3 linked regions of the Drosophila melanogaster genome follow. Changing the gene in region 1 together with any one later gene gives a genetic interaction. Each region holds a gene or a part of one and is shown in the gene's direction. Other genes may lie near its edges.

Evidence for each region. Genes that interact genetically often act in the same process or in processes that back each other up.
Region 2: of Rho1 (region 1) and crb, changing one suppresses a phenotype caused by changing the other (phenotypic suppression), as found in Drosophila melanogaster (2 studies listed by BioGRID).
Region 3: of Rho1 (region 1) and Moe, changing one suppresses a phenotype caused by changing the other (phenotypic suppression), as found in Drosophila melanogaster (3 studies listed by BioGRID).

Annotation. Positions count from the first base shown.
Region 1 is NT_033778.4:16,100,929-16,107,767, forward strand, and holds Rho1 (Rho1), read left to right. Parts: upstream 1-1,758; 5' UTR 1,759-1,964; exon of another isoform or gene 1,965-2,021; intron 2,022-2,168; exon of another isoform or gene 2,169-2,380; intron 2,381-2,537; exon of another isoform or gene 2,538-2,682; 5' UTR 2,683-2,690; coding exon 2,691-2,846; intron 2,847-4,104; coding exon 4,105-4,254; intron 4,255-4,788; coding exon 4,789-4,869; intron 4,870-4,931; coding exon 4,932-5,123; 3' UTR 5,124-6,301; downstream 6,302-6,839. Other genes in the region: CG8414 (uncharacterized protein), read right to left, coding at 1-853, 907-1,122, 1,182-1,599. UniProt on the Drosophila melanogaster protein: Has a role in regulating actin cytoskeletal organization: required during early development for proper execution of morphogenetic movements of individual cells and groups of cells important for the formation of the embryonic body plan.
Region 2 is NT_033777.3:24,293,198-24,298,101, forward strand, and holds the start of crb (crumbs), read left to right. Parts: upstream 1-1,880; 5' UTR 1,881-2,429; coding exon 2,430-2,667; intron 2,668-4,904. Other genes in the region: Uck (Uridine-cytidine kinase), read left to right, coding at 1-47; CG5715 (uncharacterized protein), read right to left, coding at 230-724, 781-1,173.
Region 3 is NC_004354.4:8,873,099-8,880,589, reverse strand, and holds Moe (moesin), read left to right. Parts: upstream 1-1,864; 5' UTR 1,865-2,052; coding exon 2,053-2,121; intron 2,122-3,428; exon of another isoform or gene 3,429-3,534; coding exon of another isoform or gene 3,535-3,576; intron 3,577-3,837; coding exon 3,838-4,017; intron 4,018-4,152; coding exon 4,153-4,284; intron 4,285-4,530; coding exon 4,531-4,557; intron 4,558-4,568; exon of another isoform or gene 4,569-4,729; coding exon 4,730-5,496; intron 5,497-5,690; coding exon 5,691-6,087; intron 6,088-6,188; coding exon 6,189-6,401; intron 6,402-6,478; coding exon 6,479-6,643; 3' UTR 6,644-6,967; downstream 6,968-7,491. UniProt on the Drosophila melanogaster protein: Involved in connections of major cytoskeletal structures to the plasma membrane. Together with wgn, involved in control of axon targeting of R8 and R2-R5 photoreceptors, independent of egr.

The DNA of each region.
Region 1 (6,839 bases):
ATTTGACCACAGAGTAGAGTCAACACTAGTGTGCCATAAACTTCGAGGTCCTCCTTAATCACGGCCAGCACATGATTGCTCTTCAGACTGTTCTCAAAGACGCTAAGCTCAGTGGGATTCGCTTGCGGATTTCTGTAAAACGGGACATCGCTTGGTTGGAGATAATTTTCCTTTTCTGGTGTTACAACTTCAGGCAGTGATACCTCATCATTCTCTTCGGTTTCAATTGCAACTTCAGACTCCTTCTTTGGGGGCACACTGCTTAAGTTTTTTACAACAATATCCATAACACTTGACTGTTCAATACGTTCTTGCTTTTTTTCCACAGGCGGATCGTCGAAGATTTCCTCTATAATAAGCGGCTCTCTTTGCATACCCACAGGTGGATGATCGAAGAATCCCTCAATGTCAGGTGGCTCATAAGTTGAATCGAGGTCGTCGGTGTCGAAGATATCGCTTCCGAATTCTTCACTATCGCTGTCACTAACATCCTCCATATCGCTATATTCACTGTAGAAATCTCCATCACTATCATAGTCTGCGCTGCTTGTGTCTTCACTGTCAGACTCTTCGCTGTCAAATTCCTCCGATCCAAAGTCATCGCTATCTTCTGGCTCATAATCAATGTCATCTTCGTCGCTGTCAGTTTCTTCCTGTGCACTTTTAAATACCTTAATCTTTCGAACTGTTCCACTGCCATCCCCATCCAACAAAAGAGGTTGGTATTCATCGTGTTCAAAAGGAGGAAGAATATCTGATAACTTGTATTCGGGGCCTTTGCATTTGACCTTAAAAATCTTTGGATCTTTAAGAAATGTCTCGTCTATTTCTTCAACTACATCGTTTTCAGAGTCTAAAAAACATAGTTTAAGTTAAGAAACAAGAGTAATATTAAAAATTCCTTACCACTTTCAATTAAATAATCGTCTTCTTCACTCCAATCATCCAATGAATTCATTTCAATGTCACTTGTTTCCGCTGCAGTACCAATTATCTCTACTACTTTACCATTTTGTACGACCTTCATTGAGCTCTTGTTTCCATTTACCTTATGTTTCTTAGATAAACTTGCTTCTTTTGTTTTATTTGGCGTCTTGACTTTGGTTTTCTTAGGAGCTAATTCTGAAAAATACATATATATTAAAATAAAATGAGGTTGTAATTCTGGATCTAATGCATACCATTTATACTATGAACCTTGGGAATAGGAAGCTTAGCACTTTTGCTTGTTGCTGCAGATTTTTTAGCTGCAACATTTGAGGATTTATTTACAGGATTCTTTTTGGGTAGGGTATTATCCTTTTTAAGCCTCTTCTGGGATGGTGAACTGTCTGGATTCGACACATTATTGGAAAGAGGTCTCTTTGCGCCGGCTGTCTTATTTTTCTTGGATTTTTTGGGCGACTCCATCTGGGCTTTTTGAATCATTGTTTCCGAAATCTTTGCAGGATTGCTGGCCACCTTTGAAATAACTTTTTTCTTTGGAACAGCAGGTGGGTGTTGTGGTTTTTCCGGCTTACGGCGACCAGAGGCTAGTTCTCGCTGTTCGGTGAGCTGGAAGCTCAGTTTCATTTCTTTCAGAATATGTTCGTCAAGCATTCCTTTTCAGTTTTTTGCTGAACTACCAATACTTCCCGGGCCATGCGACCGCAAATTTAAGAAGAAGAGCAAGAATAACATATGTGCGGTGTTACCAGTCGTGGTCGGTCATGGGAATAACGCGCACAGAGTTGCCATCGATGAGAACTATCGATTGGGTTAATAACAGCCCTGCGCTCGAAGGCGTTGGTTGGTCATCGAGCGTTCATCCCGCTACCGAGAAATGAAACGGATGAACATTGTTCATCGTCATTTTGCATGGGAAAAAATCGTCGAGTTCAATTCGAATTTTTGTAATTGCATTAACTTTTATACGATATAGCTAAACGGTAGACGCATAAGAATCAACAAATTTGTGCCATTTTGTAAGCAAATTAAGTGTCGAATTCGTGCTGAGTGTTGTGAAATCACCAATATAAATTGTAAGTGGCCGAAAGAGCAGAAGTGAAAAAATTCCACACAGCACGCACACAAATGCACGCACGCCCAGCCAGAGGCGAACAGACACACGCACACACACACACACACAGCCATACCGAGAGTGGATGATGAGATGTTTTTGGAATAAAGTGTGAGCGGGACGGGCGCGGAGAGAGGAGTTTCCTGGAGTGTTGGAGAGAGGGGTGGAGAAGCGGGCGGCCCTATGACGCGACCAAAATGAAAATGCGAATGCGAAAAACCGTAAAGAAAAACGGGAAAAACTCGGCTAACGGACAATGGACAATGGCCAGATAAGAAAGAACCCCACACTTTATACTATTAGATCGCCGTCCAGCCGCAAGTATGACTAAGTGTGTGCGCGAGCGGGAGAGGGCTATCGGAAAAGAGAGCGAGCGCGCGAGTGTATTTGTGCTGTGTGTCCACCAGTGTGCGTGTGACTGTATGCGAGTGTGTGTGTGGCTTTTTCATTTTGATAATTTTTTGAACAGGCGCTCGTTCAGTTTTCGCGAATATATAAAACAGAACGGCTGACTCGGATTCGGAATCGAAAATTGTATTCGGATTCAGAATCGGACTCGGAATCCTCGGGCATCCGCTGCACTTGCATTGCATCTAGCTACAGTTTGATTTTGCCTTTTGCAGAACTTCCAATGACGACGATTCGCAAGAAATTGGTAATTGTCGGCGACGGTGCCTGCGGTAAAACTTGCCTTCTGATTGTCTTCAGCAAAGATCAGTTCCCCGAGGTCTATGTGCCCACCGTATTCGAGAATTATGTGGCCGACATCGAGGTGGATGGCAAACAGGTAAGCCCCTTTTCCCGGACAGGCCCGCCCCTCCCCTAACTACCCGTCCCGTCCACCACTCTGAATGCCACCCCCAACCGGTGGCTGACCCCCCTCCCCTGATAACCCCACCCTGCCATCCAAGTGATAATCGTCTGATCTCGTTTTATAATTTGTGTGCATTCTCAATTCATTCCGTTTTTCAAGTGCGCGTATCCTCCTTACACTTTCCACCCGCCTCTGTGTGTGTGTGTGTGTGTGTGTGTGTGTGTGCGGGTGTGTGTTCCCATGGGTGTGTGTTTATTGTTCTCTTGTTTGTGCCACCCACAACTTCACCCACACCTTGGTCGTTGTATTTCCTTTTCTTCGCCTGTAAAATGAAATGAGTCAATATCGCCTCATGCCCACAGACGCATCCATAAATAAAGGTGTCTGGAAAAGCAAAAGAAAAATTAAGATCATTTTTGGTTAAGTGGAGTGCAAATTTGGATTTTTCCGAAGAATTCAAAGTTTTGATAGCAGTGATTAAGTCACACTTGGGCACATTTCCCCACACTTACACGCACACATGCTCAACAGAGAGTTGGCAGCACACACACACACACAGAAGTAGTGCTGCTCCCTTCCTTCCGCTCGTTTTCTTTTCTTTTTATTTTGTATTTGTCTTATACAAGTCCGTTGCGCACATACAGTTTAATGCGTTGCGCCGCCCCCCGCTCTTTCTGCTGCTCTCTCGGGCGCTCTCACTCTTACTCTTTCTCCCTGCCTACCTGTACTCTCTTCTAAGGGGGGGGAGCGCTCTCCCGCTCCACCGCGCACTCCCTTACTCTATGGAATGTAATGTGCGTTTTCCATTGGGGCATCAAGTCATGATTTGGCTATATGTTCGTTCATATATTCCATTTGGGATCTACAGTATTTTCAGGCGCTTTTTTTCGAAATAAACACTGTGTGTTTGCCTTTGCTGCGCAATATGGCGGGTTTTCAATTTTCAGTTTCTGTTTGTGTTTCTGTTTGGATAGCGTTTACATACACACAAGTTCACGTCATTCCACTTCGCCTCGCTTCGATGTGATTAATTCGTTTGGCATTTCCGTCAAGTTCCTTGCTCACACTCTCGTACTCGCACTCATGCTATCTTCAACTCGAACTTGTCCCATTCTCCTCCGAGCCCGCATCGCACCGTCCCGTGCCACAAAAAGCCCCATCTATCTATAACCCTGACGACACCGCAACTGCAAGCGTAACTCTCAATCATAATCCGCATCCGATTCTCCAGGTGGAGCTGGCCTTGTGGGATACGGCCGGGCAGGAGGACTACGACAGACTACGACCGCTGAGCTATCCCGACACTGACGTCATACTGATGTGTTTCTCAGTGGATTCACCCGATTCGCTAGAAAATATTCCTGAAAAATGGACCCCAGAGGTGAGTTTAACTGGAATTACAGAACAGTTTCTATCAGACGATCGTAAACAAGTATGGTACTATATATATATATACTATACGGAACTAACAAGTCTAGACAAAATATGTTTTTAATTTTTATGTAATGATGCAAATTTGGAAAAAGTTGAACTTTTAACTCCAGTTAAAATATATTAAACATTTTTGAAGTTATCGAATGCATTTGCTTATGATATGGAATCTTTAAGACTATGCATCTCTGTGTTCTTGTTTATGTCATTGAAGCTATCTGAAAGACTGGTTTTGGTTTAGAACGAGGAAAGTTTAATAGAATTGTTGGTTATTTCTAGTTTAATCACTAAAAATAGTCTGCTATGAGCCAATTTGCTTTGACTTTCTGAATCATTTCCTTACTTCTCAGCCTTTAATTTATAATGATAGATATAGATAAGAAGAAAGTAAGTGGTTCCCAATTACGAATTACTTGTTTTTGCAGTTCGACTATATGGAATCTGATATCAAAATATGATACTAATCCTTACTACATTATTGCAGGTCAAACACTTTTGTCCAAATGTTCCAATCATTTTGGTAGGAAATAAGAAAGATTTGCGAAATGATCCCAACACAATTCGGGTACGTATACGCGCTGTTGAACGAGGTGAACTTGCAGCACTAAACTAAACTTGATTTTACAGGATCTAGCAAAAATGAAGCAGGAGCCGGTGAAGCCGCAGGAGGGTCGCGCCATGGCCGAGAAGATTAATGCCTTTGCCTATTTGGAGTGTTCGGCTAAGTCCAAGGAGGGTGTGCGAGATGTTTTCGAGACGGCAACTAGGGCCGCGCTGCAAGTCAAAAAGAGGAAGAAGACCAGATGCCTTTTGCTCTAAAAGAGCAAATCAACAACATGAAAATCTTTACCACACACACACACAGCAAAAACAACAGCATAAACACACACAAACACACATACACACCTTTTACAACAATAACGAGCTGAACAACAACCACTCAACAACAACATCAAGAACAACCAGAACATCGGATACACGAAGCTGCACCACCACCCAACCAGCAACAAACATGAGCAGAAAACAGAGAGCTTGAGCTAGAAGATCAGCGGAGGAGGGATGCAGCGAGATATAAGGGAAGGCAGCACCAAGTAGAATGTCAAATGCGGATTTGATTTTATATACAGTCTAGTGTAGTTATAAACCGAAGTAAACAACAGTAATAACTCTGGCATTATTATTTGTAAAAACTAGGGCAGAGCAGATCAATCAGTCAGCCACTGCAAGCAAAAAATATATATCGATATATGTAAACATATTCAAGTTGTGTCCGTTTCTGTCCACCCCCTCCTCCTAGATGTATGTTATTATTTCGTTAACTGTGTTGTCAAGTGTAGAGTCGGCTGTGGCTGGACGAGATTGTGTCGTATGCGAGGGTGAGTGAGTCAGGTGAATCAGTGGAATTAGGAACAGAATCGGAAACGGAATCGGATGTTGGATCCCGGGGTCCAAGGAGGTCGTAGGCGTCAAGATGAGAGTTATGTTCCCATTAAATCTATCAAATACAGAGAGACCAGGCCGCCAATAGGAGTTGGAAGCGAAACTACATTACAAGAGCCGAACTAAACACAAAACAAAACAAAACAAAAACGATAAATGTTTATTTAACTAAACGTAAGCCACAAATGAGATGCATTCAGTTTTCGCGTGGGAGATGCTAAGAGGGAAAATTTTTGATGAAGTGAAAAACTATTTCGAGCGCATTAAGCGAGTTTTTAATATTTGTACTTTGCATTAAAACGAGTGGAAAACATAAAAAAAAAAAGATACTACAAAACAACCAAACAACTATATGAAGAGTATTTTATGATTTTATAAAATACGATTATACATATAATTATACTATACAGTACATATGTGTATGTCTCTTTTTTTGTATTTTGTACCGTCAATCGTGTAATTCTCACACAGAAGTTGAAAAACTCGAAGATGCATCAGATACAACCAAACTATATTATACTTATGAATAAACAGTACATTTGATCTACTCTTGGTTTAACTAACTGTTTTCTTATTTGGCCGGGCATCGAATTTTATTAGGCTAAGATAATGGATTTAAATCCGGGGAATACCCGCCCTTTAAAGTCAAAACACTTATCTTTAACGGGGTTAAAAAAATCTTTATTGAGGGTATTGTTTTTGTTTATTTTGTGCTTTTGTATTTAATTTTTTTTTTTACATTTAAAATGTACATAACATTATGAATCAAAATGTTTTGGTTTTTCATCGATTAGGTATTAGGTTTCACAATATTATTCCCGAACAGGTATGTCGTTTTCGAAACAACATGGACACGACACATTGCTTTGAACATCTAGTTCCCAAGCCTTTTCTCTTAAAACGTACTTTTTAATCGCTTAACTTTCGCGGCGAAAGCAATTCTATTATATTTCTACCCGCATTTGATTCGTTTTCGTGTTGGAGCTGTTGTTTTTCTTTTTTTCGTCAGTCGATCTGTTTGGTTCGAACGGTTGCAGGATTCGCAATAACAATTAATTATTAGTAATTATGGGTAGTCCATTCAACTGTTTTTTG
Region 2 (4,904 bases), on another chromosome or scaffold:
AGGGCAACTATTTCTTTGAGACAAATAAGAACCTGCCGTACCACTAGGATGGGATGGCGTGAGAGTTCCCGGAGCAGTACAAGACACGACGCACATAGGCGATTGTTAATTATCTAACCAAATATTGTACCCATAGACATATTTTTTCAGTAAACACAATTGATTGTTGATGATAAATATTTATGTTTGTCAAAATACTGTTACCGAATGCTTCGACTGCAGTTGTCATCTACACCTTGCACTTGTACATTGCGTTGATCTTGCGCACATCTCCGGCTGAGAAGCCCTTGCGTTGACCCATCTGGCTGGCATCGGATGTGGCACGCAGTGCCTTCAACGTGGGCTGGCCATTCCGAGTGAAACTGGTGGGGGAGTAGTGCATCACACTGCCATAGTCGTATTCCACGCCGAAGCCGTACTGTGTCCTGGAACTGGACTTCTCGAAGTTGACCATCATCTCGGGCTTGATGTTGTCCTTCATCACGCGCACATAGGAGTCACGTTCGTGACGATTCTGCTCATGGAAGAAGCCCAGGGCGTGCATCAGCTCGTGAATGGGAGTGCCGTATGTACGCAAGCAGTTGGGCGACTGCAGATTCACTTCCTGGCGACCACCTAAGCGCCCAATGCTACTCCAGCAGCCAGACTTTCCGCTACCAATGGAGATGTAATCCTTTTCGGTGGTCCTGGGCTTGAAGCGCACGCATGTTTTGGTGTGGTATTCCTAAGATACAAAATCTTATTTGTAAATTGTAATAGGGACTATTACTGAAACCTCACCTTAAAAGCGTGGTTAATATTCCCCAATTCCTGGCTGGTAAAAGGACCTTTGATCTCGTAGGGCACAACGCCGCCCGGCCAGCGGGAACTCAGCGCCAAAATGCCATTACGAGTGCCATTGAATCGGGCGTCCCTGTAGCTCAGTGGAATCAGGATGTCACCTTCGTGGTAGGTTCCCAGCTCCTCGGGATTCAGCGGGGATTCCACACCGAGTGCCTCAACCAAAGCTCCAGTCGTCTCCACGTCCGGATTACCGAACAGAGTATCTCCAAGATCTGTCAAGTCAATCATTTCCTGGGAGTCCATATCCTCCAGGGGCATGGAATCTCCCAGAGAAATGCCCAGTATAATCAGTAGCAAAAGCGAACCAGTATTATTTTGCGATTTGCCCATTTTGCTAATTCCCCAACTGCTGTGATTTCTAACCAGGCTTACCCACATTATATAGTCCCACCTAGACCTCCAAAAATTGACGACATGTTGTCGGTGCTGCCTGTTTATGCTGAGTTCTCTTTGAAACGATAAGTCGGCGCTTTGTGGCCGTTTACATTTACATTAAGTACGTAGTTGCTATCCGCCGGCTTCTTGATTTATGGGGAATTTACTTTTATGCATTCCGACTTGAAAATATGTGCAGTGCGGAATTTTCGCAAGTTAAGATTTGCGGTATTATAAAAGGTTTATTCTATTTGGATTATGATGATGTAGGTCACAACTTACAAAACCCATAACTGCCGTTGGTAATTTAAGTGAAGTTTACGTTTTCATGTTCCCGCCATAAATTAAACTTTACTATGCTCGTGTATTTTGGAATGTCACCTAGACATACACACGATATTAATTGATATATTGAATAGTTATATCAGTAAAGTTTTATGAAAATGTAATTAACGGTTTAATTCTTGTGCGAAATCAATTCAAGAACAAAATATTTTTTTTGTACATATTGTACCACTGTGCAACTTGAATATCAGTGTGGCCATGCATGTTGACTCTATATCAAAATCCAGCCAAACCTAGCCAAGCGGACTGGTCACACTGCACCATATATAAGCCCACGAAACGGATATCGCCGATTCAAACGGTCGAACATTTTTCTTGCTGCTCGTACGTACGTTTTATTGGTTGCTCGCGCTCGTAACGTTTTTTTCGCCCCGTTTTGGCCAATGTGTGTGCGCGCGCGTGTGTGTGTGCTGCTTGCAGTTCAAAAGGGCAGCGACAACAACAAGAACAGCGCACCTCTCTTTTAAGCCAAGTCTTCGGCGCTCGTATGTGTGTGTGTGTGTTGGTGTGATTCAGAATCGTGGCCTGGGAAGAAATGGCAAATTAGTTGGCTCAAAGTGGAATCTCTGTGCTCAATATTCAAATTCAGGCTAGAAAGTGTCGCGTGCGAAAGTTTGCAAATAATACAACTAGCAGAAAAAGAGGAATATAACTTAAAAAAAATAAAAATAACCTGTTCTAAGCCAAGTGCCGATTGCGCGCGTGTGTGTGTGTGCGTATGAGTGTTTGCGTGGAGCAGAGAGAAGGGAGAATGCAATTACCAACAACAACAAGCTCAATGAGTATCGTTTGAATAGCAATAATATCTAGCCAAAAGCAACCCTTTCCAATACGAAAACTCGACTTGAGCCAACAAATCAGCGATCATGGCTAAAATCGCCAATGCGTCACTGTCGCAACAACAAAAACAGCGGCAAGCAGAAACAGCAACGACCACAACAACAACAGTGGCGGCATCAGTAGAAACAGCAACAACAACAGCAAGAAGTCGAGACCGCACGAAAAGCGCAGCTCAAATTACGTCGCATTTGCTCAAGCGCGCCATTTCAGTTTATTCGTCGCCTCAATGGATACCGCTCTTCATACTTATTTACTTAGCAACAGGTGAGAGAGAACCCTGAGAGGGAGCTAGCGAGTGAGTGAGAGGGAGGGCGATAGGCAGTCGAGGACATTCAGGAGGAGAGAGCGAAGATGGGGACATGAGAGAGCAACACGGTGTTTACGCGGTTCTTAAGCTACAGTGATCACTCCACAGCACTGAACTTGCCCGTTATAAATTATTAAAATGTATATTAGATGCCCATTTTAAATGGAATTTGTAATGTTGTTATTGTGTTTAAGCCTTTGGCTGCTCATATGATTAATGAGTTAATGAGATTGAGTTACGGAAGTCACACTGTAAATAATTTATATGATGAGCCACATGCATTCTTTAGCTTAAACATTTGCTGATGTTTCAAAAGCTCGTAATCGAAAAAAAAGAGCAACAGGTCATGTGTGTGTGTGGTGGGGCATTCGTGTGTTTTGGGGATGTTGACCAAGTCATGTTGGGTAAAAGGAATTTGGATTTTCAATGATTTCGGGCCTACGAAAAACTCGTTCAACGGGTTTTCCTTCAAGAAGTGACTCATGGAGCTGGCTTACCTGAAGTTTGATTGTGTTAATTATACACTCATTTCTAATTTTTGATGATTGTGTGCTCGGTCTTATCTTGCAAACAAAAGGAATGCTTAGAAATGTATTAGCTTCGATTGCGTATAAATTTATATTTAGTAGAGTACAACTTTAGTCGCTGAGAGAGATAATTAATCAAATTATAGCTTCAAAGGCGGTTAATGTTAGCAATCTTGGCCAAGAAGAATTAATTACTGAAACCAGAAGAGATATTTTAACGTGACCCGCATTTTTTACACACTGTAGCTTACAAATGGATATCATATTTTTAGGTAAATAACAGGGAATCGTAACAAATTATTGTTTCTGCATTTGTTGATACTGGTGCGATTTTTTGGTAATAAAACCTCATTTGTCTGCATTTTCAAAGCGCTTTTAGCGATATCACAACAGTGAAATCTGTGAAACTTATCGCATAACGATCATAATAATTGATTCACAACTCTTGCTGACTCATTATGTGTAATTTTCTGTTACATGTTGTCCGCGGCTCAATTGTTTGGCTGGCTTAGCATTGTCTGCCCCCTTTTTCCAACGGATTGTGCAAAAACGACCTCAAAAATTGGGTCTATTTATTTACAATTCGAGTACCAACCCTCCAAACGGCCAGCCATCCGGCTGTTGTTACGCGCAATCTTATCTTTTGGCCGGAAAGTGAAGTACAACAGTTGCAAAAGCGCGGCCAACTCAACGTCAGCAATACCGCAATTCCGTTGATAGGTTGATAAGAAGAACACTCAGGAGAAGGGAGCACAGATAGAGAAAGAGTTTTCCAACTCGAAGTAGGGAAAGCCCTGGAGTGCAGCGAAAACATAGTAAACCAGTTTATCAGCTCTTGAAGCTAATAGTAAACAAATTTTCAGCTTAATAATTAAAAAAAATCCAAACGAGTGAAAAGCCCTAATAAAGAGCTATAATTCATTCATTTCCATGAACACATTTTCTTTTAATTGTAAAGAACCAACCTCTCTATAGGCCCTGTATTTTCGTATACCTTTTATCGTAGAATTTATCAAATGACTTTGGTTTATGATTGACAAGGAAAACCGACGAATAAAAAGAAGAGAAAATGAATGTCTGGGCTGGGAAATCCCTGAAAGGCATCACAGCAACTGGTTTATGGCAGCTTCCATCGTAAAATCCAGACACCGACAGCGAAGATCATCAGCGTCATCTTCACTTCGAGAGTGGTTTCTGTACGGCTTTCGTTTGAATTTCCGCCCTAAACAGATATAATCCATCATTTTCAGGGGAAAAATCGCGGCACAGGTATACTAGGCACGCTGGAAAAGTGGAGGGAAAACACAAATGAACCGAAACTACCTGCATTGCGTTAACGATAACAACACGTGACCCCGCGAGTTTATGGAAATTCTCTGGCACGTACATAAATGAAAATCGAGAATGGAATGGAAATTGTACGCTGGACACACCCGCGTTCTCCGCTCTCCGGTGTCCGGTGTTTCAACCTGGTCAAGTGTTAAAGTGCAATCGGCCGTGACGCGGGTCGTGGGCCATGTTCCGTGGGCCTACGCAGCCGGCCGCGACCATTGCCTGACGTTGGCCATTAGTGCAAGTCGTTAGCCAGGTCTATAAAAATAGCCAGAGTATAACTGAAAAAGAACTGATTTGCCCCAGTCCTTTAAAGGTTAGGGCGTACTTTACTA
Region 3 (7,491 bases), on another chromosome or scaffold:
TGCAAGAAATTTTGCATTCATATCGTGATCTTTCGATTTGCAACTAAAACAACTAAAGCACGCCTCATGTTTTAGATAATCAATATATACGAATAGTTTTGGTTTGATATTAATTGCTGCTAATCAAGTGAAATGTGCGCAGAAACACACTGACTTTATTATAATATTTCTATTTCTTATATTTTGCAGATTGCAGCACAAAAACAATAAAGAGTTCAGACGATAATATCCTGGAAAGAAAACATTTCGTTTCGATAAGTACGACAAGACACGAAACAACAAAATGTCTCCAAAAGCGGTAAGTTAACCAATAACTATAAAATAATAAATAATTAGTACTGATTAGACAGTATTATAATAAGTTCGAAATATTCCATTATAATGGTAACCATATATCACTGGAATGAAACCACAAACGAATCTGATAAAACAAATGTTTTGCACTAGCGCCTAGTAAATTATTAAAGATTAGTTATATTAAATCACAACGAAAAGTTTGTCAGCTATCAGCTATCGGAAATTGTGTTCTTATCAAGAGAGCACTTCAGCTACAATTGTCGTCAATTGTGGAGTGTTGGGATCGCATCGCATCTTTTAATAGAACTTCTTCTGGGGGGGAATGGGGATGGCCAGGCGAAGACGTCATATTGGCCCAACTGTTGACGTTGGTAATTGTATTTGATTCTTGGACATTTGCCAAAAAAAATTTCATCATTTCATCAGATACGCAGACGGCGAAAAATTGGATTAGAAGACGACGTCATTGATATGAACACATGAGTAGATCATTATTTCATACCAAAGCATTTGCCAATTTCTTTTTGACATGTTGTGATTTCTTTTTTTTTTTTTTTGGCAACCGGAAAAGTTCTTATCTCACCCAGCGATGGTCTAATGACATTTTTGCCTCAACTTGATTGTTAATGAATGATGTATTTGTTATGAGTTCATCATGACAATCAAACACGTGATTTGAAGTGATTTTATAATACAATTTGGATGATTGAAAGGTGATTTTTGCACAAAGCTTTAAGAAGTCGTTTGCCTTTTAGGGAAATTTCTCTGTTCCAATGCAGTAGTCGATGCACATCGTGCTTGAATGGTTTCTCCATAACTTTCCCTTTTTCGCTATAGTTTTTCTCATCCATAACTAGATGTTTATTGGTCTGTTTGAATAGCTTGATATGTGAGTGCGGAGTGGGGAGGGGGGAGGGGTTTAATTGCTATTTGAGGCCCAAAAGCGGCATCAATAAAACAGAATTGACAGCCAACGCGTCGTATGATTGACGCTGATTTGTTTGCCTACCTTGGGGCTGCGTTTCTACGGCGCTCTCTCGTGCTCTTCGGCGCACAGCGCTGGCCAAATGACTAGTGTTCAAACTAAAAATTAGCTAACTATACAGCTAATTCAATCAATAATTCATTTAGAGAATTGGTTGTGTTTTGATTTATATATATATTTTTTAAATATATTTTACCATATTGCACTATTTACTTGACCCCCATTGCATTCACATACTTCTCTCGTTCTGGAAAACCCATTTGACCTCTATGGTCAGCAGTTCTTTTCTTTATGGTTGCGGCTGTCCACTTTTAGATGCATAATTAACATGCAATTTATATTAACTTGACAACGAATGACTGGGATAAAAATTTTCCCATTTTCTTGGGCAGAAATTAAGTTCATTTTGTGTTGTGTTGTGTGTTCCCTTAGCGTTTCTTTTGCGTTCTGCCGCCGCCGCCGCTTTCCCAGTGTTGTTTTTTGTTTTTCTTCTCTTCTAGCATTTATTTTCCTTTTGCCTTTTGCGCTTGTCTTCCCCATTTGGCGACTTAAAAACGTGCCGTGACTTTTCCATTTTCCTCAGTTGCCGCTGGACAACAGAATCGAATCGTCGCTTTTCCGCTTTTAACCATCGTGTCGCGTTGGTCGGTTGGTTTTCCCGCGTAGCTTGTGGCTGCTCAAGAATATATATATATTTCCCAGACGGAGATTTGCATTGAAAAGGCGTAATAATTCAAAAGCTACTGCGCAATCCGTTTTCGGTGCCCAAAATGGTCGTCGTCTCCGACAGCCGCGTCCGTTTGCCGCGTTACGGCGGAGTCAGCGTCAAACGGAAAACGGTACGGACCACACTGCTCACTATTTTCCACGTTTTTCCTGCTAAGCTGGAAAAGCGCATCCCCCTTTTCTTTTTTTTTTTTTTCATGTGCTGCACTTTTGTGGTTTCAAGTCAAAAACCATTTTTTTTTCTTTTTTAAAAACTGGTTATTATGCTCCAACTTCCGTTGCAAATAGCTGTTGTGTTTTTCATTCTCAGCGGCCAGGGGGAGAAAAAAACAAAGCAGAAACCACGGTGGTTGCATTAACCCAAAAACGTTAATTGGATTGAAATGAAAAACGTTTTCAATTTCCTAACATTGTGTCACGTTTGATTTGCATTCAGCAGCCGAAAGCGAAAACAAAACAATGAGCCCTCGGACTGAAAAGCAAAACCGAGCCAAACAAAATGATGAAGTTAAAAAATTTTAATTTGTTGGGTCTACCACACATTGTTTTTTCCCATGCCCAGAAAATGGTAACAAAAACCAGCGGATTTTCAAAGGGCCTTTAAAACTGAAATTGGTTCAATCAATCTTAACAGATAGGAAATAAAATAGTTTAAAAAAATTTGTAGCTGATTTAGGTATTTAGCAAAATTCCTTTGTATATTTCAATAAAGTAAAGGAATATTTTAAACGAATGGTTTTTAATGTAAGACTTACATTTGTTGGCCATGTTGTAAAAAGCGAACTGAATTGTTAGTTATATATACTCTATTGTCTGCGCTGCATATTAACCCCAATTTTGATCTACGATCGCATTTACTTTGATCCAAATGTGGCGATTGCGCAATGGTATGTAGTGTAGTTAGTACAGGTTGACATGTGCATGTGCTGTGTGTCCGACGTTGGGTGGCGATGTGGGTGGAATTTCCCTAGCTTTTCCGCCATTTCACATTGCAAGTTGGTCAAGTGGCACGCGCAGTGGGATAGATAGCGGCTGAGCTCTCTCTTTCTATCTCTCTCTTGTATAACCACCGATTACCACTCGCTGGCCATCCGGTCTATATTCCCATACACACACACACACACACACACGCACACCCCACACCCTGTGTTTTCCCCCCACTTATTTCCACTATCTAGAGCTGCCTGGTCATTTCCAGCTTGTTGCTATTGTCATGCCTGATTGATTTTTGCTTTGCTGTTTTCCAAGCGTGATTTTTCACTGCGGCCCGCTTTCATTTTCCCTCTTTCCATTTTGCCCTCCATTTTCCCCCATTTCCCCCCATTTTTTCAAGCATTTTTCACCCATTTGAAACGTGTGTGTGCGCGCGTTTAAGTCGAAAGCCCGACTTATGCAAGTCGTGGCAATCGAATCCAATCCTCCAAAGCGAAACGGGAGCTCTTGGCACGTGCCCTGCTCACATCCCGTTAATCCATCGACCCCTAAACAAATCGTGGGGGATTCTCCTCTGCACGCCACCTTCATCGATGGGTGTCAATTTTTTACTCTTTTTTTTTTCTATTTGGCTTGTGAGCATGCCCAGTTAGTTTGATCTAGTTAGCTTTTCATGTCATGGATGATGGCACTTTTAACTTAAGAAATGCAGCAAAAGAAACAAATAAGTTACATTTAATTAATAAAACATTCTGTTTGATTCATTCGTTTTTAGTTTGCCTTCTAAAGGCAATGCTTTGTTCTTTTATATATATATATATATATATATTTTTGCGTTATTTTAATCATTTAATACGATATTTTTTTAATATCACGACATCCCTTACTAATTTCAGCTAAATGTGCGCGTCACGACAATGGACGCGGAACTGGAGTTCGCCATTCAGTCGACGACGACGGGCAAGCAATTGTTTGACCAGGTGGTGAAGACGATCGGCCTGCGAGAGGTTTGGTTCTTTGGACTCCAGTACACCGACTCCAAGGGCGACTCCACATGGATCAAGCTGTACAAAAAGGTAGGCGACTATAAATTTCATACAAATAAAGTTTGAAGTTTATAGTTCAAAAGAATATAAATTTAAATTATTTACTAAGATTGCATGTACATCATAATATTTATAAATGTAATGTATGGTACATACATAATATAGCCCGAATCGCCGGCCATAAAGACAATAAAATATTTAAAGCGTGTAAAGAAGTATGTGGACAAAAAGACAGCCGACAGCAATGGAGTAAATCATTTAGAGACGAGCGAAGAGGATGACGACGCCGATGATATGGTGGGCAGAGATCGAGAATATATTTATATATATATATATATGCCAATCCAGCAAAGTACATCCACAAAAAGTCCCAGCTAGAACATAAACCGAATTATCCTGTAAAATGCCAATTCTATAATTGTATTGTATCGCCTCGCCTTCGAATGCTTAGCTTAAGTTAATTAGCGATTGTTAGAGACTTGATTTACTAATACAAATGCAATCTCTGTATATGATTTAATGCTGCACCACAACAACAAACAGACTGGATCAATGCCGTTTTCGACATGGGTAACACTCAGACGCCGCATGCACTTTTTTATCTATGATATTATGTTTATTATTTCATTATTGAATCGGGAAAACCAAACGTTTTTTTTTTTTTCGTATACAAATCCATTTGCAGTTTGTAAACTTTAGCGTGCATTCGCATCTAATAGTGATATGTTTTCGCTTTTCACAGGTGATGAACCAGGACGTGAAGAAGGAGAATCCCTTGCAGTTTAGGTTCCGTGCCAAATTCTATCCCGAGGATGTGGCCGAGGAGCTGATCCAGGACATTACACTGCGTCTGTTCTACCTGCAGGTGAAGAATGCCATACTGACCGACGAGATCTATTGTCCGCCAGAGACATCCGTGCTGCTCGCCTCGTACGCCGTCCAGGCGCGTCATGGTGACCACAATAAGACCACCCACACAGCCGGCTTTCTGGCCAACGATCGCCTGCTGCCGCAGCGCGTCATCGACCAGCACAAGATGTCCAAGGACGAGTGGGAGCAGTCGATTATGACCTGGTGGCAGGAGCATCGCAGCATGCTGCGCGAGGATGCCATGATGGAGTATCTGAAGATCGCCCAAGACCTGGAGATGTACGGCGTTAACTACTTTGAGATCCGCAACAAGAAGGGCACGGATCTTTGGCTGGGCGTAGACGCACTGGGTCTGAACATTTACGAGCAGGACGATAGGTTGACGCCGAAAATTGGTTTCCCATGGTCCGAGATTCGCAACATTTCGTTCTCGGAGAAGAAGTTCATCATCAAGCCGATCGACAAGAAGGCTCCGGACTTTATGTTCTTTGCGCCACGTGTCCGCATCAACAAGCGCATTCTGGCCCTCTGCATGGGCAACCACGAGCTGTACATGCGTCGCCGCAAGCCGGACACCATCGATGTGCAGCAGATGAAGGCGCAGGCGCGCGAGGAGAAGAATGCCAAACAGCAGGAACGGTTAGTACGGATTTCAAGTCATGTCTGTTTGAATGAATCAAAACTTTGGGAATTTCAACGAAATACAACGTTTCAATGACCCGAAACATAATGATTCGAGCATATCATTTCCATGAGAGTCTGATTCATGCACAGGCTATAATCTGCAAGCAGATGATTCCCTTCTTATTTTCGGTGTTCTTTCGTTTTTGCAGTGAGAAGCTGCAGCTGGCGCTGGCCGCACGCGAACGCGCTGAAAAGAAGCAGCAGGAGTACGAGGATCGGCTAAAGCAGATGCAGGAGGACATGGAGCGTTCGCAGCGCGATCTGCTTGAGGCGCAGGACATGATCCGCCGGCTGGAGGAGCAGCTGAAGCAGCTGCAGGCCGCCAAGGATGAGCTGGAGCTGCGCCAGAAGGAGCTGCAGGCGATGCTGCAGCGCCTCGAGGAGGCCAAGAATATGGAGGCCGTCGAGAAGCTCAAGCTCGAGGAGGAGATCATGGCCAAGCAGATGGAGGTGCAGCGCATTCAGGACGAGGTCAACGCCAAGGATGAGGAGACAAAGCGTCTGCAGGACGAAGTGGAAGACGCCCGACGCAAGCAGGTCATTGCGGTACACTTTTTTCACTATTTGTTGGCATCGAAAAAACCAATGAATATAGTCTTGATACCATTTTGTGTTCAACTTTATACTGAACATTGTCGTTTTTGTAGGCTGAAGCCGCTGCCGCTCTGCTGGCCGCGTCGACAACGCCGCAGCATCACCACGTGGCCGAGGATGAGAACGAGAACGAGGAGGAGCTGACGAACGGCGATGCCGGTGGCGATGTGTCGCGCGACCTGGACACCGACGAGCATATCAAGGACCCCATCGAGGACAGACGCACGCTGGCCGAGCGCAACGAACGCTTGCACGATCAGCTCAAGGTGGGTTCGAAATCGAGTCCCTTATGCTCCACTCAACTAACAATATCAATTTGATATATATATATATCTATATCTAGGCTCTGAAACAAGATTTGGCGCAGTCTCGCGACGAGACGAAAGAGACGGCAAACGATAAGATTCATCGCGAGAACGTTCGCCAGGGACGTGACAAGTACAAGACGCTCCGCGAGATTCGTAAGGGCAACACAAAGCGTCGCGTCGATCAGTTTGAGAACATGTAAAAGCTATCAAAGATCAGAGATCGATAGTGCGCGGGAAAGAGAGAGGGAGCGGTGAGACTCCAGAAAGAAAAAGAAAAAGATATAACTACAGCAAGAGCAGATAATAATAATGATGATTGATAATGATGAAGATGATGATGAAGAATAAGCAACAAATATAATTCCGGTCGCTGGCAAAAGCCTATTGCTAACTATCCCACCAGCGACGACCCTTTTCCACCCATAAGAACACTTCCTGCCTCCTAAAGTGAATTGAAATGAAATATACTTTGTTTGACCGTCGTTTTGTCTCGCAGCTTTTGTATAGAAGAATCAAGAATAAGCAAAAAGAAAAAAAGAAAAAATAAATTAATGGAAACTAATTTAGCCGGACACAGCACTCATCAATATGAATAGAATGAGAAGACGGTTAGGAAGGACCGCATCTATATGGACAATCAGCAAATGAATGAGGATCAAGCTATCGGAAAATATGTCTAAATCCAAGCAGAAGCAATAGAAAATATACATTTCTCCTTTTCCCAATGGATTCATTGAGAAAACGGAACGAATAGTAATAGATATTGAAAAGGAACATCAGCAACAATAAACAACAACAACATCAACAACAACAAGAACAGCTACTACAACAAAACAAACAACTATTTGCATTTTCCCCCGTTATAATTATTATTTTTATTATTATATAATTACTATTTTTTTTAAATTTGTATAATTAAATAAGAACTTGATTAATTGTTTCTTAAATTAACTTGAGAGAGAGCAACAAACAAAAAGAGAAAAAATATATTATATAAAATATTTTTCTTTAATCTATTTTTGTTTTGCAAGAAAAGAAAGATTCTTAA